Arabidopsis thaliana: one gene and its partner. The protein of the gene in region 1 interacts with the protein of each later gene in a pairwise test. Each region holds a gene or a part of one and is shown on either strand. Other genes may lie near its edges.

The links.
Region 2: the proteins of AT3G55520 (region 1) and LHT2 interact in a protein complementation assay, tested with the Arabidopsis thaliana proteins (one large-scale study listed by BioGRID).

The regions. Positions count from the first base shown.
Region 1 is NC_003074.8:20,587,328-20,603,939, reverse strand, and holds AT3G55520 (FKBP-like peptidyl-prolyl cis-trans isomerase family protein), read right to left. Parts: upstream 10,280-16,612; 5' UTR 10,075-10,279; exon of another isoform or gene 9,786-10,074; 5' UTR 9,764-9,785; coding exon 9,655-9,763; intron 9,539-9,654; coding exon 9,405-9,538; intron 9,320-9,404; coding exon 9,240-9,319; intron 9,149-9,239; coding exon 9,056-9,148; intron 8,969-9,055; coding exon 8,812-8,968; 3' UTR 8,641-8,811; downstream 1-8,640. Other genes in the region: AT3G55550 (Concanavalin A-like lectin protein kinase family protein), read left to right, coding at 1,867-3,921; AT3G55540 (nuclear transport factor 2 (NTF2) family protein), read right to left, coding at 4,326-4,697, 4,782-4,912, 5,036-5,303, 5,489-5,722; SDIR1 (RING/U-box superfamily protein), read left to right, coding at 6,752-6,832, 6,906-6,960, 7,039-7,091, 7,179-7,407, 7,505-7,616, 8,101-8,146, 8,311-8,430, 8,515-8,640; RTFL7 (ROTUNDIFOLIA like 7), read right to left, coding at 12,778-13,017. UniProt on the Arabidopsis thaliana protein: PPIases accelerate the folding of proteins. It catalyzes the cis-trans isomerization of proline imidic peptide bonds in oligopeptides.
Region 2 is NC_003070.9:8,646,602-8,664,103, reverse strand, and holds LHT2 (lysine histidine transporter 2), read left to right. Parts: upstream 1-10,188; 5' UTR 10,189-10,542; coding exon 10,543-10,724; intron 10,725-10,808; coding exon 10,809-11,192; intron 11,193-11,399; coding exon 11,400-11,793; intron 11,794-11,878; coding exon 11,879-11,984; intron 11,985-12,081; coding exon 12,082-12,173; intron 12,174-12,264; coding exon 12,265-12,333; intron 12,334-12,442; coding exon 12,443-12,541; 3' UTR 12,542-12,697; downstream 12,698-17,502. Other genes in the region: AT1G24440 (RING/U-box superfamily protein), read right to left, coding at 327-778, 859-925, 1,051-1,207, 1,685-1,764; AT1G24430 (HXXXD-type acyl-transferase family protein), read left to right, coding at 4,607-5,914; AT1G24420 (HXXXD-type acyl-transferase family protein), read right to left, coding at 6,107-7,417; AT1G24405 (uncharacterized protein), read right to left, coding at 8,666-8,851; AT1G24390 (uncharacterized protein), read right to left, coding at 15,270-15,336, 15,524-15,678, 15,832-15,903; AT1G24388 (uncharacterized protein), read left to right, coding at 15,410-15,481, 15,574-15,702, 15,793-16,005; AT1G24380 (no-apical-meristem-associated carboxy-terminal domain protein), read right to left, coding at 16,495-17,223, 17,327-17,479. UniProt on the Arabidopsis thaliana protein: Amino acid-proton symporter. Transporter with a broad specificity for neutral and acidic amino acids. Basic amino acids are only marginally transported.

The DNA of each region.
Region 1 (16,612 bases):
AATATCCCTTTTATGGTATATCAAAAAAACATGAGTACGGAATATATGGTCCCATGATGACTAAACTCCGTAGCAATTTTGTATGTCAACGGCTAAGTACAAATTTGTTTTTCTGTTCACCGCTACTTTTGTGACATAATAAGGTGATATTTGTGAAAAATTGTTGTCCTTGTCCCGGTTTCGAATTTAATTGTTTTGAACTCAAAACAGTAAATTTAGAAAATTTCGCTCATCTGAATTTGTATTTCTCTGGTACATTTTCGTTATTAGTGGAATAGTGGTTATTGTCTTATTGATATGAAAACTAAGAACTAATTCGGATTTAAGGTTTAAGTGTAACTATATATCTGTACTTCTTGTATACAAAATATTCAAAACCGAGTGCTCGAGTTGCTAATAGGAGAGGATATCTAATTTCTTGGTTCAGATTGATTTATTTTGTTTGATTATAAAATAATGTGGTTAAATTAGGTTTAGATCTTTTGGTACGGATTCAGCTTCTAAGTTGGCCGGCACAATGAGGAGTTTACTGAGCCAATTTCGACCGACATAATTCTCCACTATGTGCTTAATGAAGAGTTATGAAATATAGAAAAGTTTCGAATTTTGTGATTATTCACTAAATTTTTTACTTAAGCATGTTCCTAGTATATAATATTCGTTATTTCATCATCCTACTATTTACATTTCAATATCAACCACAATCAACGGAAATCGTAATCCATTTTCTTCAGCTTTTATTATCTTTTAACCATTTTTTCCAACAACCCTTTTTCTCGAAGGACTTTTATCCTTAGTTTGGCCGTCAATCATCAATCCAAAACATAGACTTATCTCATTTCTTTTTTGTTTTTCCAGTGTCTTAGTTGATTGATTAATTGACTTTTTCTTCCTATCCAAGAATATTCTTCTTACTTATCGTTTCTGAATGATAATTTGTTCCAATCCAATAATTTTCAATGTCAAGTGGATCATTTACACAATCAATACTACATCTGTATAAAAACTTGAGTCATGACGATACTTTAGCTACTTAGCATATCTAATTGATGAATATTTATCGAATGGTGAAAATATATAAAGTTATTGGTTTTAGTATAGTACTTATTCCAAGATATCGTCATTGGTGCTGAACCACATTACTAAAATTGTGTCCAGACTGTAATGCTTTTGGAGTTACCCAACAAAATTATGTATTTACAACACTAACTAGATTTTAACCTGTGTAGGGTAATTTATTTTTATTGAAAACAAATATATTTTTAAAAAACAAATATAGTCACCATAAGATTGAATATCGATCGGATCTTATCAATCCAAAGATGTAAAAGAAGATAGATTATTTGGAGTTTTGATTTAGTTAACAAATTTTAGTGCGAAAATTATCATTTATACCGTTAAGAAAAATTAAATTATGAAACATGATCAACCCCCGATAACCTCTAGTAATACAGTTGTATCCGTCGGAAGAAAAAAAAGAATTATAAGTGGAAACTGGTAGATCGTTTGATTACTACTTATACAGTTATACGTACTTTCTTATCTATTAAACTAATCAATACCGACGATCTCAATTGATATTAACAACACCCAGAACCTATAATTATGGTACGTACTAACCTCGTATAATCGTAGTTTAATGGTAGATTTGAATTCTCTGTTTAAATATTAGATATCATAAAGTATCATCAGTCTAGAAATAATAACATGTTCCTGTATCACCAACATTATAAACAGTATCACATGCTTTCGTATCCTCACCATCTTCTTGACCTATCCTCCAAATAGATCATATATTAGAACTATAACCCTAGTACCTAAGTAGCCCTTACTCTTTTTACTTCTCTCCCAAGAAAACAATTCTTGATGTCTCAAACCTTTGCTGTCATCTTGTTACTACTCATCTTCTTAACACACTTAGTTTCATCTCTAATTCAAGACTTCTCCTTCATTGGCTTCAAAAAAGCCTCACCAAATTTAACGTTAAACGGAGTTGCAGAGATCGCCCCCACTGGAGCAATCAGGCTCACAACAGAGACACAGCGCGTGATTGGTCACGCTTTCTACTCCTTACCAATACGGTTCAAGCCAATCGGTGTAAACCGAGCTCTGTCTTTCTCCACGTCTTTTGCAATCGCCATGGTTCCAGAGTTTGTTACTCTTGGTGGCCACGGACTTGCCTTCGCCATCACTCCAACTCCAGATCTCAGAGGTTCTCTTCCTAGCCAGTACTTAGGCCTGTTGAATTCAAGCAGAGTTAACTTCTCTAGCCACTTCTTCGCTGTGGAATTCGATACTGTCAGGGATTTGGAGTTTGAGGACATTAATGATAACCATGTAGGAATCGATATAAACAGTATGGAATCGAGTATTTCGACTCCTGCTGGCTATTTCCTCGCTAACTCAACCAAAAAGGAGCTTTTCCTTGATGGTGGTAGAGTGATTCAAGCTTGGATTGATTACGATTCAAACAAGAAAAGGTTAGATGTTAAACTTTCTCCATTCTCAGAGAAACCAAAGTTGTCTCTTCTCTCTTACGATGTTGACCTATCCTCTGTTTTGGGAGATGAAATGTATGTTGGATTCTCTGCTTCCACCGGTTTGCTAGCTAGTTCACATTACATCTTAGGTTGGAACTTTAACATGAGTGGAGAAGCATTTTCTCTGTCTTTGCCATCTCTTCCTCGGATTCCTAGTTCAATCAAGAAGAGGAAGAAGAAGAGACAGAGTTTGATTCTTGGAGTATCTCTCTTGTGTTCCCTTTTGATCTTCGCGGTTCTTGTCGCTGCATCGTTGTTCGTGGTAAGAAAGGTGAAAGATGAAGACAGAGTTGAAGAATGGGAGCTTGATTTTGGTCCGCATAGATTTTCTTACAGAGAGCTCAAGAAAGCTACTAATGGTTTTGGGGACAAAGAGCTTCTCGGGTCTGGCGGGTTTGGTAAAGTATACAAAGGAAAGCTCCCGGGTTCAGACGAATTTGTAGCCGTCAAGAGAATCTCTCATGAGTCAAGACAAGGTGTACGAGAATTTATGTCTGAGGTCTCAAGCATTGGTCACCTCCGGCATAGGAATCTTGTTCAGTTGCTCGGTTGGTGTCGAAGGCGGGATGATTTGCTTCTTGTCTATGATTTCATGCCTAATGGAAGCTTAGACATGTACTTGTTCGACGAAAACCCTGAAGTTATCTTGACTTGGAAGCAAAGATTCAAAATCATAAAAGGGGTTGCTTCCGGTTTACTCTACCTACACGAAGGATGGGAACAAACGGTTATTCACCGCGATATTAAAGCTGCAAACGTTTTGTTGGACAGCGAAATGAACGGACGGGTAGGAGATTTCGGTCTTGCTAAGTTATATGAGCATGGATCGGATCCGGGGGCTACAAGAGTGGTTGGCACATTTGGGTACTTAGCACCAGAACTCACAAAATCCGGAAAACTGACAACAAGCACCGATGTTTATGCGTTTGGAGCGGTTTTATTGGAAGTAGCTTGCGGAAGAAGACCTATCGAAACAAGTGCGTTACCAGAGGAGCTTGTAATGGTTGATTGGGTTTGGTCAAGGTGGCAAAGCGGAGACATTAGAGATGTTGTGGACAGGAGATTGAACGGTGAGTTTGACGAAGAGGAAGTGGTTATGGTGATCAAATTAGGGCTTCTATGCTCAAATAATTCACCCGAGGTTCGACCTACAATGAGACAAGTAGTTATGTATCTCGAAAAGCAGTTTCCGTCGCCTGAAGTTGTTCCTGCACCGGATTTTCTAGATGCAAATGATAGTATGTGTCTTGATGAGCGCAGCGGTAGTGCAGGCGAGTTTGAAGATTTTGTGGATTCAGCTAGGTTTTATAGCGGACCGAATGAAACTACTACTTCGTCGATATTTTCCTTCTCCGGTAAAACAAGAACTGATCCAAGATAATTGGTTCTTTTAACCATGTTTTAGTAACGTTTCAAGCATAATATTTCACCATGAAAACAAGTAATCTGAATGTTAAAATGTAAAATATTTTTATCATATGCTGTTGCTTAATATTTTGAGTTGATCGTTGGTCTCAAATCTTGTGGTTAGCGTAACCTGATTTTGAACAATTCATTGCATAAGTTCAAGATTACAACACGAAATAGAGATAAATCATTTTTCAGTCATAGTCTCATAGAACAAATATCTCGGAACAGAGAACAAGGATTCTTCTATGAGAAAAAAAGAAATTTATAAAGCTCAAATAAAAAGAACATAGACGAATAAGGTTTTGTATATAAAAAAAGGACATAAAGGAACAAAATTAAATGCATTTAAAAAAAGAACAACACTAGCATAAACTATTAGTGGGGGTAATTTTGCGTGTCTATGTTGTTAAAATAAGAGAGTAGCTTCCCCTTCTTAACCATGAAGTAAGGAAGCTCGACATCAGTACTAGGTTTTGCAGCGGACTGGCTCGAGCTTTCAAGTGTGTCTCGAGGGGTAACATCAACATAACGGAGGATGTCATTGTAGATGACATAAGACCCATTGTGACAACGTGTCACATAGAAAAATTGCAAGAACTTTCTCTCTGTTTTGTCGTCTAGAGTCACGAAACCGCAAACCATGATAAACATTCTATCTTTAAAGGATCTGCTGATCTGATAATCCACACTATTCAATATAAAATTAGAAGCCCTCTTATGCTCATTTGAGACCCTCTTGTTGATTGCCTGCACCAAAAAACTAACCCCTTAGATTTATTCCACTAAAATTTCTCTAGAAATACATTGGAATTAGGAACTTTTGCAACTTACATCGAGGCCAGGCATCTCGACCATTGTTCTACCAGAAGTCGAAGTCGGTCTGCTCATAATACTTTCATTGACATACATCAAACCAAGTTCCTCACGCATAGGCAACTCGTAGTAAACCTTGACAAATCCAGCTGCAAAATCTGCTTATATATATAGTCACACCAAAACTAAGTTAGTAAGTTTTGTAATCTCATGAAGCTAAACACTTACTATTCTAAAATTGAATATCAAACACAATTTATACAGCTGTTTACCGGATTCAGGAACAGAAGGTAATGCTGGTATTGAATCGATATAGCGGAGGAAATCATTGACAATGGCATAAGACCTATCTTGACGACGAGCTAAATACAAAGATTGAACAAATCTCCTCCTCACTTGTTTGTCTTTACAAGTCAAGAAACCAGTAACCATGATAAATGCTCCATCTTCAGAACTGGTATTGCAACTCTGAGCAGCAAAACTCATCACATCAAACGAAGCACCTTCATAGTCGCATGAAACGATTTGCTCCTGAATTGCCTGCACCATCAAAAAATTGTTTGTCCTTATAAATCGTTTACAGCTTTTTTCAAGTTTATACGTTTTGAAAACGTTAAAAATATAACTAAAAGAATTATTGTTATAAAATATAATTACTCCCAACCAGAACATCAAACTAAAAACAGAAACTCATGAGAAAGATTTGATCTGATTAATGACAATACCTCAGGCGATGTAAAAGACATCATTGTACCATCAGGACCGGGTCTAGTCATAACACTGTCGTCGGCATACCACATCATCTGAACTACCTCGGGATAGACTCCTAGATTCAGGAAGTAAGATTGGAGAAAGCAATTGGCTAATGCTTCGGAAGTATTTAAGTTCGTGAAGTGGGATTGAATAAAGCCATTGGCTAACAATACGGAAGGATCAACATCTTTGATCATGGAATCCATATCTGCACCAGTAATTATGCCCTAGGGGAGACGAAGAAATATCCAAAGTAAACCCTAGCTAGATATCAAAATCTCTTAAAAACAAACTTATCTCTCTGTTGAGATCAACCGCTGATCTATAGGCTAAAGGAATCACCGGAAGAGAGAGAGAGAGAGGAAAGAGGCGGAAGTTGTGACTTGTGAGACGGTTTGGATTTTGGAAACCTACGTTCCATTGAACTTCTTTATATATTGGTTTTTCATTATGGGATATAGTAATATCTTTATAAAAAAAAAAAAAAAAATTATATATATATATATATCTTTAATACATTATTAAATTAAATAATATACGGATAGGAATTACTATAAATCTTTATAAAATAAAAATAAAAGGAGAAGTCCCTTTTATCTAATTTGGATGGTTAATTTGTGAATTTTCCATATTTATCTAATTTCGATTTGAAACATATCCAACGTTAAGTCAGATTCTTGTGGTGAAATTATTGCATCATAACATAAAGTCATGAGAGTAGGAGAGAAAGTAATAAGTGGCAACATCAAAACGACGACGTTTTTAAGCTAGTGCGTCAGCAACAGTTAAACCATATGAAGTTAATGGTCTGTGTTAATGAAGACAAAAACTATATCCTCAGGTTAGCGATAACTCGGTCCGAGTCGACTCGGTCCGACAAGCGATTTTCGTGACTCCGTCGTCACCACGCCTATGTTAAGTGAGTAAATCCGACTCTTCTCCGTAGAGATTTCTCCTACTTTCAGGTGAATTTCTCCTCCGATCTCTAGCTCCGTTCAATTTTTTTGATCCATGAATGAAACCTTCTCATTTTCAATCTCTTGGCTTATGTGAAAAGATTCGTGTTATTGTTTTGTTTGGATCAGCATAGGGTTTAAATGCCTCTCCTTTATTGCTGTGATCAACATGGTTTCTCGAATTCTAGTTTATAGAGTTTTGAATTAATTTGATAGAACCAAATATAGATTCAGTGGCAATTGTTTTCTTTTGCAGGCTCTCTTGTGAATTTGGAAGACATGAGCTTTGTTTTCCGGGGAAGTAGAGGAGATTTAGAAAGCGGATTCTCGGGTGGTTTTCTACCCGAAAGACGAGCTATGGTATGCTTTCTTGAAAACATATACAATGGTTTTTGTTAGAATGATACTTATTGCAAGTGTCTTTTGGTATCAGCGTGTTCATGGAGCTCGACCAGTTAATTCTAATTCCCTCGCTTTTCTGGTTACAGGTAAATTCAAACTTTCACCTTCTATGTTATCTTCAGTTGTGATGTTGTTAATACTTGTGTTTGGTTTGTGTATTTCAGTTCTTTTGCTGTTTATGATTCTCAATTCGCATCAGATGCCTCCTAATTTCCTGGTATGATTAAATACGTGAGTTAAAGTTTTTTCCTTTTGAGTTAGTCGTCTTTCGGGTGTGAGTTTGACATTTCCATTAATTTTGTAGCTGTGGCTTGTGCTTGGGGTGTTTTTGATGGCAACGACGCTTAGGATGTATGCTACTTGCCAACAACTTCAAGCTCATGCTCAGGCTCAGGCTGCAGCAGCAAGTGGCCTCTTTAGCCATACTGAGCTGAGGTTGCATGTGCCTCCTTCCATTGCTCTTGCTACGAGAGGGCGTCTTCAGGGACTTAGGCTCCAGCTGGCTCTTCTTGATCGGGAATTTGATGACTTAGGTCAGTATCATCCGCTTGTTCCTTTTTATTAGTCTATAGTTTAGTAGTTTGCTTTCTATGGTTGAAGTCTGAGACAAAAGTTGTTCTGCTGCAACAGATTATGAAACTTTAAGAGCACTTGATTCTGATAATGTTTCCACAACTTCTATGAGCGAGGAAGAGATAAATGCACTTCCAGTTCACAAGTACAAGGTGTTGGATCCTGAAAAGTGAGTCAATATTGTACCTTGTTTCTCTTTTAACAGTTTAAAATGCTTTCAAATGTGGAAACATTGAGGAATTAAGAAAATAGTAAGTTAGGATGATGTGATATAGCAACTTGTATAGACCTTAACTTCCTTAACAGGGGAAGGTGGGGTGGTAGAATATACAACTTAATAAGTTAGAAACTGATATTGTACTTAGGTTTATTGTTTGCTTTGCTAAACGGAACATGTAAGGTATTGATTGTCCATTGAGTTACTAAAGATTTGTTTTTCAATAGAATCTTCTAAAATCATGAGTTCCGTTGATCCCATCACTTCTTTGGTTAATCGTCAGGCGCTAGTTTTATTGTGGAATGAACATTTAAAATTTGTTACTGAGTGAAACTTTTCTCAGTTTTCATAGCTCAACGCCTTTTTGTTTTCTTTCTAATTATTGTGAATGAATCTGTATTCATGGTTTTTGTCTTGCGTTCGCTTTTGTTGACAGTGGTTGCTCTTTGGCAAAGCAAGCGTCAACCTCATCCTCAGCTGAGGTATATGACATATTTACATTTCCCCCCACCCCACACACAAAAAATAGCCGATATACAAAAATCACATTTGAACTGGTCAATACTCATATGCTCGGTAAAAAGTTCTTGCTAAGTGGCTAACAATGTCTTAATTTTTCATGTCGTTTTCCTCTTATTCAAAGCAGAAGATGCTAGATTCTGCCAATGAAAGTAAAAAAGGAACAGAAGATGAGCTCACATGTAGTGTTTGCCTAGAACAAGTTACCGTAGGGGAAATCGTTCGCACCTTACCTTGTTTGCATCAGGTTTCCATTTTTACTTTTATCTTAAACTGAAAATCTTCCAGCTCTTTACTGTGTCACGACTCAGACATATATCCGTTTGCTCAGTTTCATGCAGGATGTATCGATCCATGGTTGAGACAGCAAGGAACATGTCCTGTCTGTAAATTTAGAGCTCATTCAGGATGGCAAGAACAAGATGAGATTGATGATGATGCTTCCGACATGGTTTGAAAAGTTTGGTTTCGAACACTTGTTTATGTTATTAATGTGCGTGCGAATTAAACCCCAAACAAATCATGTAATGGTCAATAACTCAATATGATGTAACTGATGACTCTCCCTTTCCAAAAGTTTGATTTAGATTCATCATGAAATAGTAGTGACAGGTCTTTTGCATTCGACTTATTTAGCTTTGCCTTTGCCTTTTCCTTTGCCTGGACCTTTCTTAGCGTCTAGCTTAGCTTGAATCCTAGCAGCTGCAGCAGCTTTTGCTTCTTCTCTCTTTTTCTTATCATCCTCTTTCGCAGCTGCAGCAATCTCTCTCTGCTTCTTCAGATCTCTGCAACCATGAAGCAAAAAAGTTTTCATATTTACACACATGATAACAAGTCAAAAGTTAGGTCCAAATGGTATTTATAATACTTACTCTAGCCTGGCTCTCTCTTCAGAAACACTTCCAACACTAGCACCTTTCCTCGGTCTACAAGCAACCAATTCCACCTCGAAAATCAAAGTTGCACTGCAATTACCAAAAATCTCAATTACAAAAACAAAAAAAAAACTGTCACACTCCCTTGAACGAGATGCAAGAAGTTTGGAACATAACATACTCAGGTGGGATGTCGGGAGGAGACCCGGCTCTTCCGTAAGCATATTCTGGCTTACATGTAATTTTTGCAACTTCTCCAACCTGTAAAAAAAATCAAATCAGTTGTATATAATAACTGAAGCGTTCAGATTATAAGGATAGAAGAAAGACTCAAAATTGTAGAAACCTTCATGGTTTTAAGAGCAATGTCCCAAGAACGGATAACACTGCCTGTTCCTAACTCAAAGGAGAAAACAAGATTGTCTTCGCGAGTAGTGTCGAAAACCTTTTCGTCTTCAGCCAAGATACCCTCATAATGAACTAAGTTAAAATCAAACAAGGTTATGGTCCTTCATCAACACATATAATTAGGAGTAGCATAAGCAGTAGATGAACAATATATTGACCCTGATCACTAGTCAATCTTAAGAACATACCATCGACAACAGGAAGATCATCAGAGGGTGAAATAGCATCAGGTTTGGCACTCCTTACAATCTTTTTCAAGACGCCACCATCTCCACTCAAATCGATTGCATCACCCATAGCTTCAAAGGTTCAAAGAAACCTAATTCACATAAAAAACAAACCTTTTCATATAAAATAACAATTACTGGATAACTGGAATATAAACAGATACGTTTCAGTACTCATAAACACATACACAATTACATCAACTAAAGTGTAGAATCATTTCTGAGTGAGTTTATCATTATCTCAGCTCACCAACACAAAATCAGTAAAATCTTATAAATTGAGTGAATGGATAGTTCTGCAGATAAACAAATATATGAATTCAAAATCAAACAGCAGACGAATCGTAACTAAAGGTGTAAGCTTTAGATTCTCGAACTCACCCGATTCGAAGAAAGATGAATAGTATTCGATCCGATACGAAAACGGAAGAAGCAAATGTGTAGTGACGAAGTGATAACCGGAAAGAGATCGCCGTAGAGATCGGTGGCCATAGACTGTCCAAAGAGTATCGGATTTTTCCTAGAATCGGCTTCTTCTTCTTCTTCTTCTTTCTCTAATCCGATGCTTTTGACGTCACGTGTTATTGTTCTCTAGGGACCGGTGCTAAAATTCATATTTGTAGCCCATTAGGCCCATCATGTTTTCAAGAGGTCTTATCTATTTAACTGAAGAGCAACAACAGAAGTTAGCCCATTAGGCCCATTATATTTCTATTGGCCAATATGCTGCTCGTTCTCTTATTTATTTATTTTTGTCTTAAGACTAAACAAATCTCACGTCAGTTGTCACTTTTTAAAAAATTATAAGTTGTAAATTTGTAATCTCCAATAATTAGGAGTGAACTTAAAGTACAAAAGAGTCCCCAAAGTGCAATTTAACAGTGAAAGTCAAAACGGAATATCGTCGGCGTGTTGTTGTCTAAGAAGAGAGAGCTGATAAACAAATCAAAATCAAGCATGCTAATGAACAATCAATTTTTTTTTATAATCATTTATCATAGATCCCTTCCGATTTGTGGGGGATGGCTCATAAAGTCTAGTTTTCCAATCAGTGACTAAACTATTTTAATTTGTCTCTTTATACATAGTGGAATTGAAATATACTTATTATATACTATCTTTTTTATAATTGTTCAATGCCGCCATTACTCTTTTCTTAAGTATACACAATTTAGGAAAAAAGTGTTATTCACCGTCGCAATGATCAAACATCCACCATATATTGAAAATTTTAATAGGAAAATTAAATCGGACCCATTTGAATCTCTATATGTTTAAAGGCAGCCAATTTCTTCATAGAGAGGTGTAGGTATAATCCATAAAATTTGTAGACTATAAATAACGACATGACTTGAATATTTAAACCCTTCTTGTCAAACTTGATTAGTCCCAAACTTGTATGTGGTGTGCTATATACATGAATAACAAAAATATAATTTAGGATGGTAGTTGTACATAATTCAAAAACTGATGTGAGCAGATATGTTGAGATAGTGGTCATATATATATATAGAACACCCAAAATTCATCTGTATAATCATTGCCAGAATAATTGAAAGATTCTTAATTAAAAAAAAAAAAAGAGATCATTGAAGGTCAAACGTTAAAAAACCTAAATTTTTTGAAAACCTACTAATTAATCGTAATGTCACCACAAAGCTAAGTATCAAAAGTAAAACAATAGCTACATCGAGAAACTCGACGATTAGAAAAACACGAATAATGTAGTACAAAGGAACAAAGAGAAAAGATTCCAACACACTCAAATATACACCTACATAATTTATTTTTTCGATTGTATCATGTATAAATGACAAATGTAAAAGGTATTCACATGTTTTTTTAAAAAAGTTCGAGAAATTCAGATCTAAGTCCTAATTTTTGTAGACATGGGATCATTCTTTAATTAATATATTCCTTTTAAGAATACCGGGTCCTCTAGGTGGACTCGAACTAGATAATTCTCTTCTAAAGAAACTGCTAAACCAAAAATCACTTAATCGGATGACGAAAACATATAGTTTAAAGTACCAATCATTCTTTTCAATCTAGCCTCCCAAATGCGAATCCCAAAATTGTTGTGCTACTGGAAAATATCATTGAACGCGATAGTTGCCTTGCACTTGTAAGTGAAAAAAAAAACAATAAAATACCTCTATGTAAACAAATAAGTTGATGAGAACTATCTAGAAACATATTTTCTATAAAATATCATCACTTCTTCAGCAGTAGCTCGATGGGGAGGACTCTAGCAGTAGTGACATTCTTTCTTAAAGAAACTCCATCGTTCTAGCACCAGCTCTGTTTATTTAATCATTTATTTATTGTAGCTATTAGCCTATTAAGAACAATAATTAATCTGGTCATAGTGATTACAATGGAAATTGCGGGACCAAATATTACGTAGTGGTTTTATAAATCTGAATATGTGTTCTTGTTTAAAATATTTCTTCTTGTAGTATTTAAGAGGCAGCTATTTCATGTAATGTTGGACTACGTAATCCAGAGCATAATCCATTGTATAAAATAAGTGTCTTCATATTTATGTAAGCTAATCTTTGTTTCTGGCTAAAAAGAAGAAGATTCTTTGAATTGTATTACTTTAAAAAGATAATCTTTTATACTTCGCATGTTCAATCCACTATAGTATAACAACATTATTCTTTTAGAACATTTCGAAGTTACCATAATTGTCCATTGACTTCAATGATGTTCGAAAATCCTAATCACATTTGATTTTTTTTAGATTTGAACCCTTTTGATTATATTTTAATAATCTTTACTCTAGTCTTGACACATTTAAGTCATAACTCGTGATCTGAACATATCGGCGTAAGACAATAATAAGAAAAACGAATCTAATTCACCATTTTATACTAATTGCTTTCTATCCTCTACATGTTCAAGTGCATACACTGAAACTGATGAGTGATGACCAAAAGCAAACACAAACACAAACATTCAAATCTAAATTACAACCAGAAGTAGAATCATTTATGTACATTTTGTGTCTAATCTACTCTTAAAATAAAGTTCAAAACAGAAGCAAGAAAAAGAAGAGAAAGATAGGGTTTTGACGTTGATTTAGGAGTGGTCAGAGTTGTTATTATTATGATCAGTCCAGCAAATAAGCATAACGACGCATCTCCTCATGATGTAAAAGCGAGCTCTTTGTTCTTTCACCAATCTCCCACACTTCCTCGTGAAACCGTATTTCCCCTGTTTCTGTCTAGAGGAACGCGTGGTGTTCAACGCGCCTCCGTTGTCTCCAAGACTTTCCTTTTTCGATAGCTGCAACTGTGCCGAGTTTCTCAGTCGAGACATTTGCCTGAAGATTCTTAGACTTCTGATCTTGCTAGGAGACTGATGGATTTGAGAGTTTTCTCGAATATGGGATTCAGCAAAGTTAAAGAGAGAGTTAAGGAAAAGAGTGTAGGGGGTACTTCCGCATTTATAATGGTTAACAGTTAAATATCCTTTTGAACACACACAAAACAAACAAAAAAACGGTTTGACTAGAAAGAACAATTAAAATAACACTAAGTAATGAGCTTTCATTTGAATATTAAACGCTAACTTTATTTCCCCAAAAATATAGTCTTGTTTTTTAAAAATATGGGATTATTTAGAGGCACCTATTGCTGAAAACCTCAATAACTCACGTAGTAAAAAATTTAACCAAAAAAAAACTAAACATGCAAAAAACAAATGTGAAAAGTTAAAAATCCAAAGAAACAAAAAAAAAAAAAAACGGGTACAGTACTACAGAAGTCAGAAAATAGGAAAAGCTTAAGCGGAAAAAGAGAGATTTTAAAGGCATCAAAGCAAATCTAAACTCTCACTGACCTTTTTCTCTGCAACTGTAACTGTTTATTTGCTTTCTCAGTACAAATTCATTATTCCACCAACAACAGTCATATTCACTCCACAACATAAGGACAAGAAAAAACAGAGGTCCAAAAAAAAACTAAGACTTATATAAGAATATTGGTACACTCGGATTAATTTCGTAATCGTATTGATGATTTATATTCTTGTAATTTTCAGAAGTCATTATCGCTTAACAGTTGCATTGAATATAAAAAGCAGAGACGTATCTATAGAAAATCCATATTAGTCAAACACCAAATCTTGTTCCAATCATTGTGATCAGGATGACAATCACCAATAACACTAAGTCACTAATCCGAATCTCTTACTGTATACTTCATAGATGCTAACCATTACTAATTATCTCACGAGTATCGTACGAGTCTCCAATTTAACCTAGCCCCTGGGTCACTAGATTTTCGTAGATTAAAGTAGTGAACTCAACAAAAACTATTTTGATTAGCAAAAGTGTCTTAGGAGGAGTGGAGGACCGAGGGTTAAGAAAAATAGTAGTATGTGCATACACCGATAGTTGAGGCCCAAAATTAAAGGCCCAAATTTACAAAGGCCTTAATTGTCCAATGCTATTAATTGGGATAAGCATAAAATTAAACGACCAATCACCAGATTAAATCCCTAAGATTCCAAATGTGCGTAACATTACCTTTAGAAAAGTTTAACAACGTCTAAATAATGATACCACCATTCACAACGAAAGTCTTTACATCTTACGATATCACTAAGGTCGACGTTTGCAACTTAAAACGCACACTTTAAATTACAATAAACGAATTCACAGACCACCCAAACTTTAACAGCATAACCGGCCCAAAAACTCGTACTAATGATAATCTTGCAAAATTGCTTAGTTTAGTAATTAAGCCCCAATTTTGACGTTAGACCCATATCGGATAAAAACGCGTTTTCAAACCTAACTATAATTTGGGTAGTCTGAATTAATTTTTATCCAAGTTTTTGACCTTCTAGTATTATTTTACATCTTAGCCAACCATTCCATTGATGATTATTTGTAGATAAACTCATTTGTTTGGAATATTGAAAAAAGGATCCATGACTCAAACCTTCATCACTTGCTTCATGTTTGGAGTAACTCATCATGCATATGCTCGACAAAACAAACTAAAACCTTTTGGTGTTGTAATTTTTATCCAAGTCCACATATCAGAAATTCACACATCAGTGAGATCAAACGTTTATAATTAGGAAGCAAGTTTGATTTAATTAGAATTCTCATCTGTATAAATCTTTGAAAATCAAGATTACCCACACACAGTTTTGTTTTTACGTAGATGTGGACTTTTCCATCAATAAAATGGTATCCATGTTATTAAAAATTCTTAGTAGATCTTAAATGTTAATACAAATACATGAGCGAATCTTTGCAGCAGAGAACAACTGCACAACAAGCAACGTACACAAACTAATCTCTTTCTCATATATAAACCTTTCTCATATGTAAAATTTCGATTTCATATACAGATTCAGGTAGATCATAGTTCGAGTTGGCACTACTACATTTAGATTCAGATTTAAGACCCTAAACAAAACAATAAGAAATAAAAAACAAGAAAAAGAAATGAGATTCTTCTCAAATCCGATTTAGGAATCAAATTCGAAATATATGTATAGATCCAAAGTCGAGAACTCTTATAAGAATTATACAAACCTGTCACATACATCACATCATCATCTACTACATTAGAGAAACATATATAGAGATCTAATCACATACATAAAGAAACATGGACACGAAAAACAAGGGGTTTGGTTTCACATGAAGATGAGTCATTTGATTAACCAGTGGACAAAGAGAAGAGACATAACCAGATGTAACCGAACATAAAACAACAGACATATACATGCTCCTTCATACATATGTCCAATTCCTCCAAACCCTTTCAGTCATTATTATATAAATCAAATTTATGCATTTATGAATCACCTTGAGTCTACAGAAACAGGTCTTATATACTTTGTCGTTAGAAAGAAAACCCTAAAACCTTTTTGGAAATTTTCAGGATCTATCCATCGTGCAGCAAAAAGTTTTTTTAAAAAAAAAAAGATCTATAAGCAAGGGTTCACTTAATCAATTGAGAGTAGTATATACATATTCGTTTTTCAAATCATTCATCATCGTTTTGTCCACAAATATGTTTATACACACACAAATCTATTATATATATATGTGTGCTTATATATATATAATCATATGCATACCTGTGAAATAAGTTTCACCTCAAGTTATCATATCGGAGGATTCTACATATGAGGATCTGGATTTCTGATTAACCACATGATGAAAATGGAAAAAAAGACCCTAGATAAGTAAGCCATTTAATTGCCGCTGCAGCATCATCAAGATTCTCAAACCAAAAAATAAAGGCTCAAAAGAAAACCCATAAGAGAATCTGATTTCTGAATCTTGAAGATGTTGCAATAGCAAACAATGACTGCCACTAACTTCAGAATCTGAAGTCATCAACATGCTAACCCTAATAGTAAAGACTAAAGAGATCTGAAGGAGAGGAAGAGATTTAGGGTGAAGAAAGTAGGAAAGGGTAAAGTGTTTAAATAGAAGAAAGAGAAAGAGATCAACGGTTGAGATTTTCTTGAATATTAGAGAGAGAGAGAGAGAGGGAGAGAGATTAGGGAAACAGTTGCACATCGTAATCGAAGATACCAAATATACCAAAGCTCATTAACACTCACTGTGGCCATAATTAATTAAAAAGGCAAATCTGAGGGATAAAAAGAGAAAGGAATTGAAGATAGAGTAAATTAATGGAGCAAGCAAGAGTGTTAAAAAACGAAGAGAGCAGAGAGATGCGTTGCGTAGCCCACAAGCATTAAGTTTTGTGGATCGATGGAATTGACACATTTGACAGCTCCTTCATCTCTCTCTCTATCACTCGTCACCATTTAGGGTTTAGGGTTTTCTTCAGACGTTTCCTTTCTTTTGGTCCCTCCTCTTACCGTTTCTGCTTCTCTGTCTCTCTCTTTTCTTTTTTTTCTTCATATTTAATTATTG
Region 2 (17,502 bases), on another chromosome or scaffold:
ATTGCACAATCAATTGGTTTGGTTCGGTTCGATTCGGTTTGCATTGGTTTATCCGGATTGAACATCTCTAGGAATTGATTTTACTTATAACAGTTTTTAAATCTCATCTTCAAACATGCTTATGTTGGCAAGAAGACATGAAGATCATCTTTCTCATTTGATCTTTGATAATAAAAGGGGTACACATTAAGATTATGACAATCTTCATAAATCATAATCTAAAACGAAGGAACATTAATGGATCACCAGATTCTTATGTACACTTAATCAAAGGTCTGGGATCACTCTCTCCCTCTGTACACCCGTATTTATGTTTCGGGATAAAATCATATCAAGTACTCGTTGTAGACTAAGAAGGCCGCTTCTGGATAATCCTTAGGAAGGCTATTGATGTGGAGGTAGAACCGAAGAAGATCCTCTTTGGTGACCGTCTCTGGATCCACCACATCTTCATCGCAAGTTAGCACCCACAGATCCTCTGAGTTCACTCTCTTGATGCTGCCACGACAAAACGGGCATGACTCCGACTTTGTGTTCCAGTTACGGTAACATTTGATGCACATGGCATGACAACAGTTTGGCAACACCATTTTGGTGCAAGGCTCTAAGCAAATCCCGCATTCGTCTTCTCTTTCCAAGTCAATGCTATTCATGTATCTGCTACCTTCAATGTCATACTGCTTCTTGGTGATGGCTTTTGGATTCGGATACCACAAGCTTTCGTCCGGTAAGTCAGCAAAGTTGATATGAAGTCGCTCAAGTGATGGTAATATAACACCTGCATTTAGCCAGAGCCATAGTTATAAGATTAAGCCCACAGTAGAAGAAACACAATCACAATTAAGAGCTTAGTCTTACCGTAAAACTCCCTAATCGTAGCTTTCCTTCCGTACCTAGATCGATTCCACCGCCCATCAGCACGTACCTGTACAAGACAAAGAAGACACCTATAAAACAAACAAGCCAAGAGGAAAGGAGAGAAACTATCAGGGAATCTACCATTTCACACACACACACACACAACTCGATATCTATGTATGCGGTAACAACCTTGTATATGAGTATGTGGAAGAAATCAAAATATCTTGGAAGCAGACATGAGAAATCCATCCATTGTAGCAGGAATATGAAGAATGGAGCCAAATTGCTGCACACCAATTTCATCTGAAGTCGCACACCGCTCTTTCCCATTGGAATCTCAGCAGCCCTGAATCAAATTTGAGAGTAATCAGTCATTACACTAATCCTTCTAACATAACCCATCCCTTCAGACAACATATGCCTGAAGAACAAACCACACAGATACCAATTCTGAGACTAAGCAGTTACTATATCCTTCGAATCACATAAACCATTTCCACAGACAACATATGCATCAATACCACACCACAGATATACAAATTGTGAGACTATTCAGTTACCATCCTTCTAATCACATTTAACCCATTTCTTCAGACAACATATGCATCAAGACCACACCACGCATGCCACAAAATTTAGCAATTTTTTGACCATTTCTGCAAAGTTTCGATTTTTAATAATCTAAGTTCGTGATAACGACCGAAAATGTAAAATTGTGGGGCCCTAAACCCTAAATCATCGAAGCCAACTATAACAATCGATACTAAAGACCCTAAACCCAGTAAAAATCAAAGAACCCAGAAAGAATCAGAGGATGACTCACAGTCCATTGGCGTGCTCAATATCAGCCTCCAGAATCTTCAAAGAGTCTCTGTAAGAAGACTTGGTCAACTGATAATACATCCTCCTTAACTTAAATCCCTAATCTCGTCTCTCTTCTCTCGATGAAGAGATGATGATGATAACAAAAGGATCAAGACAAGAGAAGACGAACAGGAAGAGAAGAGAATCCAAAGTTTGTGTCTTGGAAACAGACAAATCCTTAGAACCCGATGAATCAAAAACAAACAACAGAGACGTCTGCTTTTCTCCACGTCTTATCTCTTCGGTTTCACAAAATTAAAGATTTTGGAAGAAGAAAAAAGAAGCGACTTTTCGCTATTGATGATATTTTTGCAGCCAGAGAAAGAGACTTCGTGAAAGCCAAGAAAAAAATTTATATATATTTTTTTTCAAAAATACAGAGAGAAGAATCTTATCTCTTTTTTTTTTTTTGTTCTTGCAAACTTTTTTAATTTTGGTGTTCTGTTTCAAAGATCATAATGATGAGAAATTGGATGATGATGATGAGTGTTGTTGTTATAATGTTTGTAGAGAGAAATAGCTTTTGTCCTTATCTATAAAACATTATATGCTTTCTGTTGGCAGGTCTCCGTTACCAAATTGGTTTCTTTAATCAACTTCTTTCATAAAGTATTTTTTTTGTTCAAGTCTTCAATATCTGTGACCTGTCAGAGCCAACATTATTTCCTTATTATATTATGCTAATTATGAACACAATTAGGGAATAGGGAAGAAGATTCTCTCTTCATTATCGATTCTATACTAAATTAGTAGTGCATATTTTATCCTTTTCATATTTCAGTATCATTTTAGACTAATGTACTTTTGTTTTGAAAATATCACTTTCATGATTGCAATGTTAATTTTACAAAAATCTAGTTTGTCCATAATCAAAATTAATAAAAATGTATAAAAAAATTAATAAAAAATAAATAAATAAAAAAATAAACTCAAAAGTATTGACATTTCATCTTGAAAATTTGAACAAATTAAATGCATAATCTATCAAATGTTGCAAATAAACGGTGTTAAATTTTAGACGGAAACTAAAACACAGTCGTTTCGTTGATTAATTAAACGATTGTATTTTTTTTTTTTTAATGTATAAAAAGAAAAAAACGTTTATTATTGACTACGATGATAATGTTAAATTCATGGTGTTATAAAGGTTGCTAAGATTGTTGATTCATGGTATTACACTGAGATTGTTGAGTTCGATTATATTTATAGATAAGTCCTTTTGTATTTAGAGTTTCTAACATCTATAGTATTAGTCTATTAGATAAGTCCTATTAACATGTCATGAGCTGCAGTAAAATACCTCATCCAAAGTCCACGGGCTATTTTCACGAGTCACAATAGTCAACGTAATAAGAATTGATTAAGAAGATTAATTAAATAGTAATTGTACTTTAAACATTTCAGAAGTTTGTACGTTTTCTATTGAGTATAGTGGATAAACCCTAATTAATTAATATCCTGGAATAATCAAATCCAGATGTAATGTTTTGAACGTGACGTTGATCGTGTTGAGAGCTGAGATACATAACTCAACAAAACCCTACGTTTTCGTTAAACTATTACTTTTGTTTTGAATCATTGCTGTTCGCGTGGACAACAAACTAAACTCGCTCTCCAGCAACAATATTTCTCAGCCTTCAAATTCCATAACGAATATTATAATTTTATTGGCAACTAGCTATATAGAAAATGATGAATTCAACACCATGGTGTGTCCTCCAACATAATTTATGACGTATGAAGCTAGCATGAAGAAATAACGTTTACTCTATTGCTACAATGATTTCTAACTATATATAGATTTAGAAATTGTAGATCGAGCCTTCTTTGTTTAATATTTAATCCAAAAGCATGTTTTTTCCCCCCGGAGGATTTTTTCTTTTGTGAAAAATGTTGAATAGTATAAATAAAAATAAAAATATTAATTGTCTTATGAATATGTTAATGCCACTAATTAAAAATTGGTTTCTAGGGAATATATACTATAGTATTATTCTGGTTAGTTGCTATTGGTCGTAATGATCATATTAATTCATAGTAGATGAACAGCCCATATTTATTAAGTTGAAGAATGGGAATTTGGAATAATTCGTACCCTAATTTTCAATTCAAAAATATCATTTATTGATTTAAAGTTCTACCTAATGGTTCCATTGACTATATCGACCACAAACATATATATACAAAATAAAATTTGTTATGAATGGCAATACAAAAGTATAATTTCGTATAATTAAAACGAGCCTATCGGAATATATAATTTAGCTAAAATGAATAGTCAAACGTTTTTGGTAAGGACTAGTCTAAAGGACTAAAGGAGATGTTGAGGACCATCGACCACCAACCCCAACTAGTTAATGATGATGATGATATATACTTTGAAAATGTTATCACTATATAATTGTTGACGAACCGAATCCCTGTTTTTAATTTTTGTTTGTTTGTACTTATTCCTAAACTCATTTTGTATAGAAGAGTTTCTTGCGGAAAAAGGCATCCTGTGAAGCTTGAGTTTCTTGAGGGAAAAGGTATCCTGTGAAGCTGCTTAACTCACTTGCGGCAAATTAACTTGTTCAAGTCTAAATAGAAGATATAGTTTTCCACCTAACGTTAGTATAAAACTGGGTTAAACCAAAACCCCATATCAAGTTTCATAATGTTGACAAAATAATCCAGCTGAAGTCTCCAAAACCAAATCTTTGTATAAAATTTGTAACTTTCTTGTTCACTTGGGTCTAATTCTGATCCGTGTCTAATCACCATGACACGTTATTAAAGAGGACTATACCTCCTTATAACTTTAGCTTATATAATCTTACTGACGAAGCATGAGTCTGCTCAGTTCTCATACATCATTATTATAAGTTATTTCAAAACAAGAATGGGGCTTGAGATCACGGTAACTTCTCAGGAACTCGTCAAGCCCTCTCCTCGAAACCTTAATCATCCTCCATGCCATCATCATCTCTCTTTCCTTGATCAGCTTGCTCCTCCCATTTTCATGCCTTTCCTTTTCTTTTACCATAACAAGACTAATCTATCAGACAAAGAACGAAGTGATCACATCAAGAGTTCTTTGTCTGAAATATTGAATCTCTATTACCCCTTGGCAGGACGCATCAAGAACTCGGGTGATGTTGTTGTGTGCAACGATGTGGGTGTGTCTTTCGTCGAAGCCAAAGCCGATTGCAACATGTCACAGATTCTAGAAAACCCAAATCCTAACGAACTTAACAAGCTTCATCCATTCGAATTCCATGAAGTGAGTGACGTGCCTCTCACGGTACAGCTCACTTTCTTTGAATGTGGCGGCTTAGCACTCGGAATAGGCCTTTCTCATAAACTCTGTGATGCACTGTCTGGTCTCATCTTCGTCAACAGTTGGGCAGCTTTTGCTCGTGGCCAGACTGATGAAATCATTACTCCTTCTTTTGATCTCGCCAAGATGTTTCCTCCGTGCGACATAGAAAACTTAAACATGGCTACAGGTATCACGAAGGAGAACATAGTAACCAGACGCTTCGTGTTCTTGAGATCTTCTGTTGAGTCTTTAAGAGAAAGATTCAGCGGAAACAAGAAGATCCGCGCGACACGTGTTGAGGTCTTATCGGTATTCATATGGAGCCGTTTCATGGCTTCAACAAACCATGATGATAAAACCGGAAAGATCTATACACTGATTCATCCAGTGAACTTGCGTAGACAAGCAGATCCAGATATACCAGACAACATGTTCGGGAACATCATGAGGTTCTCTGTTACTGTCCCTATGATGATAATCAATGAAAATGATGAAGAAAAGGCTTCTCTTGTGGATCAGATGAGAGAGGAGATTAGAAAGATAGACGCAGTTTACGTGAAGAAACTTCAAGAAGATAACAGAGGACACCTAGAGTTTCTAAACAAACAAGCTTCAGGTTTTGTCAATGGAGAGATTGTATCGTTTAGCTTCACGAGCCTCTGCAAATTTCCGGTGTATGAAGCAGATTTCGGATGGGGGAAACCTTTGTGGGTTGCCTCTGCAAGAATGAGCTACAAAAATCTTGTAGCTTTCATTGATACTAAGGAAGGTGATGGAATTGAAGCTTGGATCAACCTTGACCAGAACGATATGTCTAGATTCGAAGCCGATGAGGAGTTGCTTCGCTATGTCTCTTCAAACCCAAGTGTGATGGTCTCTGTATCTTGAGAAACAAGTAATCTATTAGTCGTTTCTAATGAGTTTGAGCTTGTTTTCCTTTTAAGTTTGTCTTTCAGATTTCATTCCCTTGTACTTAATGCATTCTTTTATACTATTTTGTTCATATTTAAGAAGCAACACAAGTTTAAATTAACTCATATAAATCTCTTGGAAGAAGTATGCAATGAGTTTTGTTCTTGTCTAGATTAAAACAGGGGGATTTAGGGAAGCTGATTCAAGAAGCTCTTGATCACATTCAAACAGTGACATTTGTTCTTCCGTAAGAGTGATCCAAGCTTCAATTCCTTCTCCATCTTTGGTATCAATCAATAACATCAAGTTCTTGAAATGGGAAGTGCCTCTTCCGGTCACCCAAACCGGCTTTCCCCATCCGAAATCAGCATCGTACAAGCCGAGCTTACACCAGCTATTACTCATCCACAAATCCATCTCATTTCCTCTTCCATATACTTTCCCAATCTCTTCCAAAAGCTCAAAAATTCTAGACGAAGATTTCGACATCTCCTTGCAGTTCAAGCTGAATATTTCCTTTGCCCTCCTTATCTCATCAACCACATCTTGAATTCTTTCAATCGCAGCTTCTTCGTTCTTGAGAATCATGAGGGAAAGCATATTCCCAATTGTGTTTTCACACAAAGAATCTACCTTTCCTCTTAGGTTCACTAGTATCTGCAGCACTGAAGTTCTTGGTGTTAGAGAACTCAATCTTGAAACCTTAGTAACGCATCTCCAAAACAGAGCTGTGACGGCTTCAACACGTGTTGGATTCTTCACAAGGTTTCTTGAAGCTTTGGCTCTAAGTTTCTTGATCTTCGAAGCATCAAACACAAACCTCTTTGTCACACAACTCATCTCTTCAACCTCTTCTTTGCGATCCATCGGTTTTGAAGGAAGCTCATCAAGTGGTTTAGGAAAGACTTCAGAAGCGGTGAAACTAGGAATCAAAGTAATCCCCAAACCTCTTGAGGACTCAGCCCATCCTCTGATGAACATTGCTAAAGAGGTAGCATCAGTGATCTTATGAGAAACGCAGATTGTGATAACCAATCCTCCACAGCTGAAGAAATTAGCTTGGATTAACAACACAGGCCATGTAACAGCTTCTCTTGACTTAGCTTCAACAGGAATGAGTAATTCCAATGATTCAGGAACAGGGCACTTGAGAAACTCCGAGAGAAGATGGTCAACTCGAGCTTCTATAAACACAGCTCCTTCATCATTACATTCGACGAAACTTCCTATGATTCTTCCGGCAAGAGGGTAGAAGATTGGTAAGGTTTTAGACAGAGATTTCTTGAGCTTCAAGGAAGTCTCCTCTGTTGAAAAACCTAGAAGGTTCTGAGGATCAGCTGCGTAAAAGAGAAGAGCTCCTGTGTACATTGGTGAGCTGAGGATATCAAGAAGAGAGAGATTGAGAATTCTCTTATCATCTGGAGTTGGAGAAGACGGTTTGACTATTTCTCTTGATAAGATCTCAACGTTCTTCTCCATTTTTACGAACAAAGTCTTTCTCCACTTTCTGATAAACCATGACACGCTTGTAAAATAACTTCAATGAAGATTCTTGGTGAGAATAGCTACATATTCCTGCATCACAAAAGACCAGTCATATTATTTATCATTAATTCATGTCATCATCATCATTATCCTTATTATTATTAATAGATTACATTCATATTAAAGATTCCTACTAGTGGGGAGACCAACAACAGTTCAAGATTCTTACTCGTCAGGAGACAAAACGTTATTATTTCATCTTAAAAATCTTGTCTTAAATATCGAAACAGAGAATAGTAATTATAATGAATTGCATTGCTTTTAAAACCTTAAGGGGTCCTTTGATTTTACAAAAAGGACATTTTTCCTTTCTAGGACTAGATAGCTAATTTTTATTGGCCTTAATTGTTTGCAGATTCAAGATTATGATTGCAATTTTTCTAAAATGAATCCATTATCCAAGCATCTCAAACATCTTTTTTTTTTCTGTTAATCGTTATTCAACACAATGTTTTTTAATCTATCGTTGCACTAGTTGTAAAAACGCTATTTTCTTTTAAATCTAATTTAACATTAAATTAAAAAAATAATAATGTAAATGTCAAACCTTTTGTATATATTTTTTTTTTTGTATGAATAAATGTCAAACTTTTTCTTCACGTTTACGTTAAAAGTAGTTTACAAAAAGCTAAAGAGTATTACAATTTTAAAGATATTTTCTTTTGAACATCTCACTTTGCTTGTTGTTTGCATCCAGATGGTGACGCGGCATTAGATTAAACTATGCCTATATGGCATGGTTTATGAATTTTGTGAGAGGTTACTTGTCGGTACATCCTGCATGTTGCTGATTTTAGTAAACTAGGATAGTGATATTTTGAATCGTTGTTTATTGCCTAGACGTCTTTTACGAGTGTTTAGCGATCCATTAAGTTTTCTTTGTCATTTTAGGTATTACAAACTCAAAAGGATGATTTTTTTTACATGTACTCATCTAATAGGATTAATGATTTTATAATACACCTTTAATAAAACAAAAACACAATTCCTGGTCGCTATTAAATTCTCACCAACAAAAATATAAATACACAATCAACCGCAACCAACGAACTTTCTAAATGTTAAAGATTTAACAATTACAATCAGAAGAATGGTTAAAAGAGAGAAGCAGAACTTAATGGATTAATCACAAGGAACAGATGAATCAATAACCCTTTTGTAACTAAACAAATAACCTATTGATTACTTATCAGATTTCTTGCCAAGTTTCATCCATTTGAATCCAAGTATGGCCTTCCCGATACCGCTTTTGCTTCCATCTTCCTTCTTCTTCTTCTTCTTCTTCTTCTTATCGTCTTCGTTACTTGAATTTGGAGGAGGATCAGAGTTGTAATCCCATTGATCAGCCCATGATAGTCCAGAATCCATCTTCTTCGTCTCTCTTTAAGATTTTGTGGAATGAGAAGGTTTAGAAACAAATATGAGGGTGAAAGAAAGATTTTGTTTTACTTATTATAGACAGTATTGGTTTGACACAATGTCTATAAGTTTCTTGGTTGCTTATTTTTGGGGTTTATCTGTTTTTAGTTGTGCCTCTTTGCCCTTTGGTTGGACAAAGAATCAACATCTTTCACCTTTGACTGTGAAAACCCTTCAACAAGAAAAGAACCCCTTACCTGAAACACTTGAATTTTTTTGAGTAATCAAAAACTATACGCTTCAACGGTTCAACCTAATTTCTCTTTTACATTTTATTCAACATTTTCAAAGGATAGTTGAGTAGATTAATTACTGTTGATAAAAAACGACATACAATTTTTTTTGTCACGCTTTGAAATTATATTATTACGCTTGTTTCGTTTTGTGACATTGTACTACCAACAATAATTGTTTTTTATAGTCAACCATATCATTAATCGGAGCGGTCCCTTGATTCGTTCGAGCGACCCTCTAATCAATTGGGAATACTGTGACAAATAACCATGCATTTATGCTTCAACAATTTTAGTTTTCCTTCATAAATATCACGGGATGCAAGTGACGCTAAGCATAAATAGTTCGTCTGTTTCATTGACTTTGTAATAGAAGATGAAAAAAGAAAATATATAGATATTTATCTTCCTTTTGATGTCATGACGTTTCGTGATTTTGATTTACAGTGTCAAAAAGAGAGATTACGCTAGCGAAACGTCACTACGACCAAGATTTAGTTGGAGTATTTATACTCTGATCATTCTCAATTTCTCATCATCGACATTACAAATATGCAAAATTAACAAAAAATAATAATATATACAACTCATCACCTTATATATCTAAGAGCGTTTTGTCTAACTAATAATATGTTAGCATTTTTATGCCACTATTAGTAATTTAATAATATAGTTATTGCTTAAATATATAGATTTTTAACATATTTTCTCTTAGATATATATATATATATATATATATATATATATATATATATATATATATATCAAGATATAAATAAATTCTACTAAAAGAAAAACAAAAAAACAGCTAATTTTTTGTCGGTCAACTCAAAATAATCATTAAATGAGAAAGATATATTTATCTATCGAATAAATATTATTTTATTTTTTAAAAGCGAAACACTCGTTAGATCAGGTGACCATGAAAAGAAAAATTCAGCTCTATCCAAAAAAGAAAATAAATCATGCAAATACAGGGAGAAAAAAGTACGAAATTACAAAAAAAAGCCATGTCAATGTAAAGAGAATCATTGAATCAAGAAGAACGATTGGGGGTAAATTAGTATTTAAATTGGTCTAAGCATGAAACAGCTTCCAGCCGATGGTGCCTTATGCCTCGGGCAAAAAAAAAGACCAAACACACTAAACAAAACTACCAAACAAACTAACAAACATTCCCTTCAAATTCGGAAAAGTCAGAATCTCATCACCTATTTATTACACTCTCATAAACGCTAACAAATCGTTGAATAGAATAATTAAGCAGGTAAAATCCTAAACCGTCAGAGAATATCTATCCTCCTCTTAAATATCACTCTTATCTTTATCCTCCTAAAATCTTCTTAATTGTATCTAATCTCTTTCTCAAAAACCAAACACTATCTCTCGATTATATCACAAGGAGATATGGGGAACAGTGAAATGTCAGCGAGTGAGGTTGCGGCGGCCAAGCAGAAGAACGTCGACGATTGGTTACCGATCACATCTTCCAGAAACGCTAAGTGGTGGTACTCTGCTTTTCACAATGTCACCGCCATGGTTGGTGCTGGTGTTCTTAGCTTGCCCTACGCTATGTCCAATCTCGGATGGTATACTAATTTGTTGAATCTGATAATCTTAATCTCCTTTATGTTTTAATCCATGATCTGATCTGAGTTTTTGATGTATTACAGGGGACCTGGAGTGACGATTATGGTGATGTCATGGATCATAACGTTGTACACACTGTGGCAAATGGTGGAGATGCATGAGATTGTTCCAGGGAAGAGGCTTGATAGGTATCACGAGCTAGGTCAACACGCTTTTGGTGAAAAGCTTGGCCTATGGATCGTCGTGCCGCAGCAGCTTATCGTGGAGGTCGGTGTTGACATCGTTTATATGGTCACAGGAGGAGCATCCCTCAAGAAAGTCCATCAACTAGTCTGTCCCGATTGCAAAGAGATCAGAACTACGTTTTGGATCATGATCTTTGCTTCCGTCCACTTTGTTATCTCTCACCTTCCCAATTTCAACTCTATCTCCATCATCTCACTTGCCGCGGCTGTTATGTCCTTAACGTAAATCTCTTCAACACACATATATTGGTTTTACTTTATAACTTGAACAGAAAGTTAGAATAATTAACCTAGAGCATGCCTTGTGGTTCAAGGCTAGGGATCAAAATTGTTGTATATTTTCCGGTTATTAGAAGAAAAACTTAGCATAATCCCAAAATATGTAGAAAACTAGGTTTTATTGCCTGATGATTTTTATGATCTGTACAGTTACTCAACTATTGCTTGGGCTGCATCCGTGCACAAAGGGGTACATCCAGATGTGGACTACTCTCCTAGAGCATCAACCGATGTTGGAAAAGTATTCAACTTCTTGAATGCGTTGGGAGATGTGGCTTTTGCTTATGCAGGTCACAACGTTGTGTTGGAGATTCAGGCCACAATCCCTTCGACTCCGGAGATGCCATCCAAGGTCCCAATGTGGAGAGGAGTTATTGTAGCCTACATTGTAGTCGCCATCTGTTACTTCCCTGTAGCATTCCTCGGCTATTATATCTTTGGAAACAGCGTTGATGACAACATCCTCATCACTTTGGAGAAGCCTATCTGGCTTATTGCTATGGCTAACATGTTCGTGGTTATCCATGTCATTGGAAGCTATCAGGTATTCTTCCACATTCTAGTACTTCTATATTTTTGATTGAAGTAAGAATTATTTCATGAATATTGACACCTTTGTGTGGATTCAGATATTTGCAATGCCAGTTTTTGACATGCTCGAAACCGTTTTGGTCAAAAAGATGAATTTCAATCCTTCTTTCAAGCTCCGCTTCATTACTCGTAGTCTTTACGTCGGTAAGAACCCACTCCTCATTTATACATATGTAACGTCATCCTCCTACTCCATTCATTAATTAATCTCATTTTCATCAATGTACATTGGACCGTGCAGCTTTCACGATGATTGTTGCGATATGCGTCCCGTTTTTCGGTGGACTACTCGGCTTCTTTGGAGGATTCGCCTTTGCCCCAACAACTTACTACGTATAGTACAAATAATCCCTTCATTTCTTTATTGGTTTATCCATAGATTAAAGTTGTGAATTTATATACACATATTAATTTGTAACTGCAGCTTCCATGCATTATGTGGCTCGTTCTCAAGAAACCAAAGAGGTTTGGTCTATCTTGGACAGCTAACTGGGTATGTTCTTTAGTAATCAATGGTACATAATCTATAGCTCTTGTTTTCTTGTAAAGTAACAATTTTTGTGTTTTGGTTTGTTGGTGTTGTGGATTATGAAAAAATACAGTTCTGCATCATAGTAGGAGTTCTTTTGACGATCCTTGCCCCAATTGGAGGACTCAGAACCATCATTATCAACGCCAAGACCTACAAGTTCTTCTCTTAGATGGATCACTTTTTTTTGTAACCGCGCAACCGAAAAATAAAATCACGGCATGTCTAATTTTATGTGACTGTCCGTTTAAGTAAATTTTATGTTTTCATTGTAGTTAAGACAATTATCTTTGGTTTCTTTTGATAATAAACTCTTTTTCAAATAATTAATCTCCATGATCTGGTTCTTCTAATGTTGTGATTTCGTAATTTATGCAAGAACGTACACGGGAATTTTATGACACGTCTAGATGCAATGTTACCATGGTCAGCACGACACTGCGTTTTGTTTTTCTTTATGGTTTATGGATACATTTACATTAGATGATTTGGATCTGTGGTTAGATTTAATCTTAATCACGGGGTTTTCACCTGTCAACAATATGACATGACTTGAAAACGAATTTATACTTTCCAGTACAGCATGCATGAGTGATGAGAATAATTTAATAGCTTCGTTTATTATTTTGGCTTTTCAAATATCTTGATTTATACGTTGTTTTTGTTGATACGTGAACCTGTGATTCTGGTCGTAACTCGTAACGCCACATGTACCCTTTTGTGGAGAGTTTACTTGTAAACGGCAGACCAAGAACAAAATGTCCTTTCATCAATTTCTATCTAATAGAGAAATCGGCAATTTTGGTTATAAAGCTCTTTGATGAGTCTTCTCCTTGTCCTGCCTTAATTATCCTTTATGCTAGGCTCGGCTTCATCGTTACAATTTGCTCCGATCCAGCTTTGATTAAACTCGCTCTATATGTACATGATCTTCTTGTTTCTTTGTCTATGCATGTATTTTGTCATACAATTCTTTCTTGATTAATATTAGGAGAAAAACATAGAGCTCAGTAGTATAAGTATATACAACCAGTCCACGCATTCTGCTGCTTCCTCTTACCACATTACTTTGGACACCATGGATCTCACCGCTCTTCAACCTTTTGAGACTACAGTTTATGACATATCATATGGCAAATTAGCTTTATCGTGCCGTATTGCTAGACCTCTAAGTCATTACGAGACTTTTGTAGTGGTGCTTATACAACAAGCAAGCCATCTTACTAAATGATCATCATTGATGTAGTTAAATTCTTATTAAATTAGAGAATTATTTTTGTTTGTATAGTTAAATGTTACAATATAGTTTTAAAATATTATTATGTTAAAATTTTACCTTGAATTAACACAAAACAAATTAAAATTTTGATTTTGAGATATAGTGAAATAGGATAGGAAAATAGTTATTTTCAGGAAGAGAAATTGTGGACGGTACATTTAAATAAATTAATATAATTAATTAAAGAAGCAACAATTATGGTACAAAAAACTAAAGTTGGAAAAAATTCTTATAAAATACATGATATATCTAATGACTAATTTTAGTCAAACTACAACTAATGAAAAGTACATGTGTTATTAAAATAGAATGTCAAACACCACATTATTAGACATAGTTTAGAAAAATGCTTGTTATATTATATATATAAAAAGATTTAATCTATGGAGTACCTTTTTTTTTTCTCGGGATATCATGACATTTCTAAATTGAAGTTAAAATACATCTCCCCCTCTCTTGGTATGCCAAATTGTTTAACAAACGACAATGCATATCTCATTACAAATGCCTAGCAACTATGAGACAACACTCCATCATTTATATCTGCATCTTTAGGGAGATTCATTCCATAACGCCTATCAACAAATTCGCGCACAGGTAACGTGAGCACAATGAAATAAACTCTTCCTCACATCCATGCAAAACTAAGAAACACTAACCATGTCGCATGATGTGTATGCCCCACACAGCAAATGATAACGTTTTGGTTTTGAACCTATACTATTATTTTAGAAGTACAACATAAATTGTAACATTGAGAAATGTAACAAATTATATTAGATTACAATTTAAAGAAAATATAATCATAGACGAAATTAATCCACATCATTAAGGTTATGACCTACTTCTTAATACTGCGGGTCAATTGGTCACCAAACAGGTTTTCAAATATCACCTAAACAATAATATCAACTAATTGTGTACAGTAAAACCTCTATAAATTAATAAATTCTTGGGACCAGTGTAAAAAGTGACATAAATCAATATTAATAAGATAATAAGTTTTTTGAAAATCCTATATAAATACATGGTCTCATCAATATTATAAATTAATAATTGCATAAATGTATCAATTATATATATACATTATATATAAGAATTTTTTTAAAAATATATTTTTAATATTTTTTTGCTCAAATTTGTATATATTCTTTTGCTTAGCCTATGTCTCAAAAGAGTGAACAACTTTTGCTTAGCCTATGTCTCAAACGGCAGCTGTTTCCTAATCCTAGGCGGTTTAATGTATAGAAATACAGTTGGGTTGGCTAGTCACAAGGCAAGATCCGCTTTCGAATAAACTTATAAGTTATTTGGTGCGTCTGTAATGCTTTATTTTACTTTTTGACTTTAAGTTGTGTTTGAATTTGGTTTAACATAGGGTAAAGATAGGGAGATATTCTTCAACCCTTGTAGTTTCCTTTTCGTTTCTAAAAAAGAACACATCAATAACTAAAAAATTAGAATGCGAGATGATTTATCGATTTCTAGTTTAAGCAGTAAATTTTACATATTTCTTAACATAAACCGCAAAATAGAAATCCGACCAAGTGCTAGAAAGAACTCAACTTTGTCTGTTTTACCAAATTGATTTAACTAAACAAAACCGACTCATACCAATTGTCTAGCTAGCAATACCTCCATCAGTGGTGAATGCCTGCAAACCAATGATTTCAACCATGGTTAGGTCGCTAATATAATCAGAAACCTAAAATCGACCCAAAAAAAAAAAAAAAAAAAAAAACCTCAGCCGCTCTCGAGACGATGGTGGCCGGGGCAGAGGAGAGGGAGAAGAGCAATCCTCGGAAAAGATATAGGATAGTGAATAGATCCGCGGTAATATTCTTCATCATTGTTAGTCGTTGTAAAGCGATTCACATATGTCTTTCATCGTCACACATCCTAACCCTCTTTCTTGTCGCTTCTAGAGTTCCTTTATAAAGAGAGTACCACACTTTGGTGGAAATGAAACAATCTGTAACGATGAGTCTTCTCCATGTCCTGCCTTGGTTATCCTTTATGCCAGGCTCGGCCTTCATCCGTACAATTTGCTCCAGGTTTGATTAAACTCGCTCTATAAATGCATGCTCTTCTTGTTTCCTTGTCTATGTATTTTTACCCTACAATTCTTTCTTGATCAATATTAGGAGAAAAACTTAGAGCTCAGTAGCGTAAAGAAATACAACCAGTCCACGCATTCTGCTGCTTGCTCTTACCACATTACTTTGGACACCATTGGTCTCACCGCTCTTCAACATTTTGAGACTTCAGTTTATGAAATATCCTCTGGCAAATTAGCTTTATCGTGCCGAATTGCTAGACCTCTAGGTGATTACGAGACTATTTGTGGTGGTGCTTAGGCCAAGTCCAACGCCACGGGAAAACGTTAAAATAACGTGGGCATGTTTACTTTTTCACTCCAATCAGACGGTATAATTTGCACTATAATAGTGTGATTCTCTTTTTTTGTACAGTGTAACACTATATTTGGTGCACTACTGTATCCACGTCAAATATTAAAATAATAATTTTTTCTTTTGTGTTAACATTATTATATATTAAAATAGCTTATTTAGTTATAATAGATTATATATGATTGTAAATGAGATTTAAGTAATCTAACTAAGGCTTGTAACTAAAAAATAATTTATAAGTACTATTTTTGTAATCTTTAATTTAATAAAATGATGGATTAGTAGAAAATATTAAAACTAATACCGAAGTTGATTGAAAATACAATAAAATAAATTATACATTTATAACATAATTAAAAAATTAAAACCACACAAACATAAAAACTAAATGCAACAAGATATGTTTTAAAAACATAACAAAAGTTTCACAAATGGTTAAGGAAAATTATTTCCGGTTCCGCTAAGATAATTATAATATTGGGTAAAATCTTCTTGGTTATTTGGTGATCTTTGGTCTTCACCTTGATCCGGTTCTCCTTGAACTTGTTTTCCATGAAATGGACTTTCTTGATAATGAGATGCTCGATATTGAGATCCATGATATTGGGAGCCTTCACCATCTTCTTCATGTTGGTTTGTTTGTGCTCTTTTTTCCAAAATTCTTTTTCTCTCATTTTCAATATATGCACTAGAGGATGGATCACTTATAGAATTCAAATCTGCAAATAATATTTTATTCTCTTCTTTCATTCTAGCTACCTCGATCTTCTGCCTTTGAATTTCATTTCTTTCAGAAGTACCTTTAGTAATAGCTTTGATAAGTTTATCATTTTGCTCCAAAAGTTGTTTAAACTGTTCTTCAGATTGTTGTTTTCGCTTTGCTTTTTTCAAACCCATAGGCCTTGAAGATAAACTAAAATTGGCATCTTCACTATCCATATTTAGATCAATTGAATTCATACCAGGGGAAGGTGATGACTCGGTATTGATTGAAAATGATGAAGATGACGTAACATCACGACCTTCTCCTTGGAATGCAGCGGGTGTCTTCATGTTATCATTAGCAAATTTCTCAATACCTTTAAGAATAGGCCATACATGATCAAATTTGAATCCTCTCTTGTATTTTTCATATTGAGTTAATAACATCTTCGCTTGGTTTAACTGATTACATATTTACAAGAAACAAATAAAAATAAGTTAGCATGTACAAATAATTTAATAAAGATAAGTTAGTAAACACAAGAATTTATAATTGAGTACTTACAATGTCTTCTTCAGAAGCACCGCTAGGATTTTTATTCTCAATTTGGTTAACGCATCCTCTCAGCTTTGAGACTGCAGAAAGAATTGACGTCATTCGAGTTTGTAAAGATCTTTTTGGTCTTCGTTGAATTTTGGGAAACATCGAGATACACATGACACAATTGTATATCTTCTTGA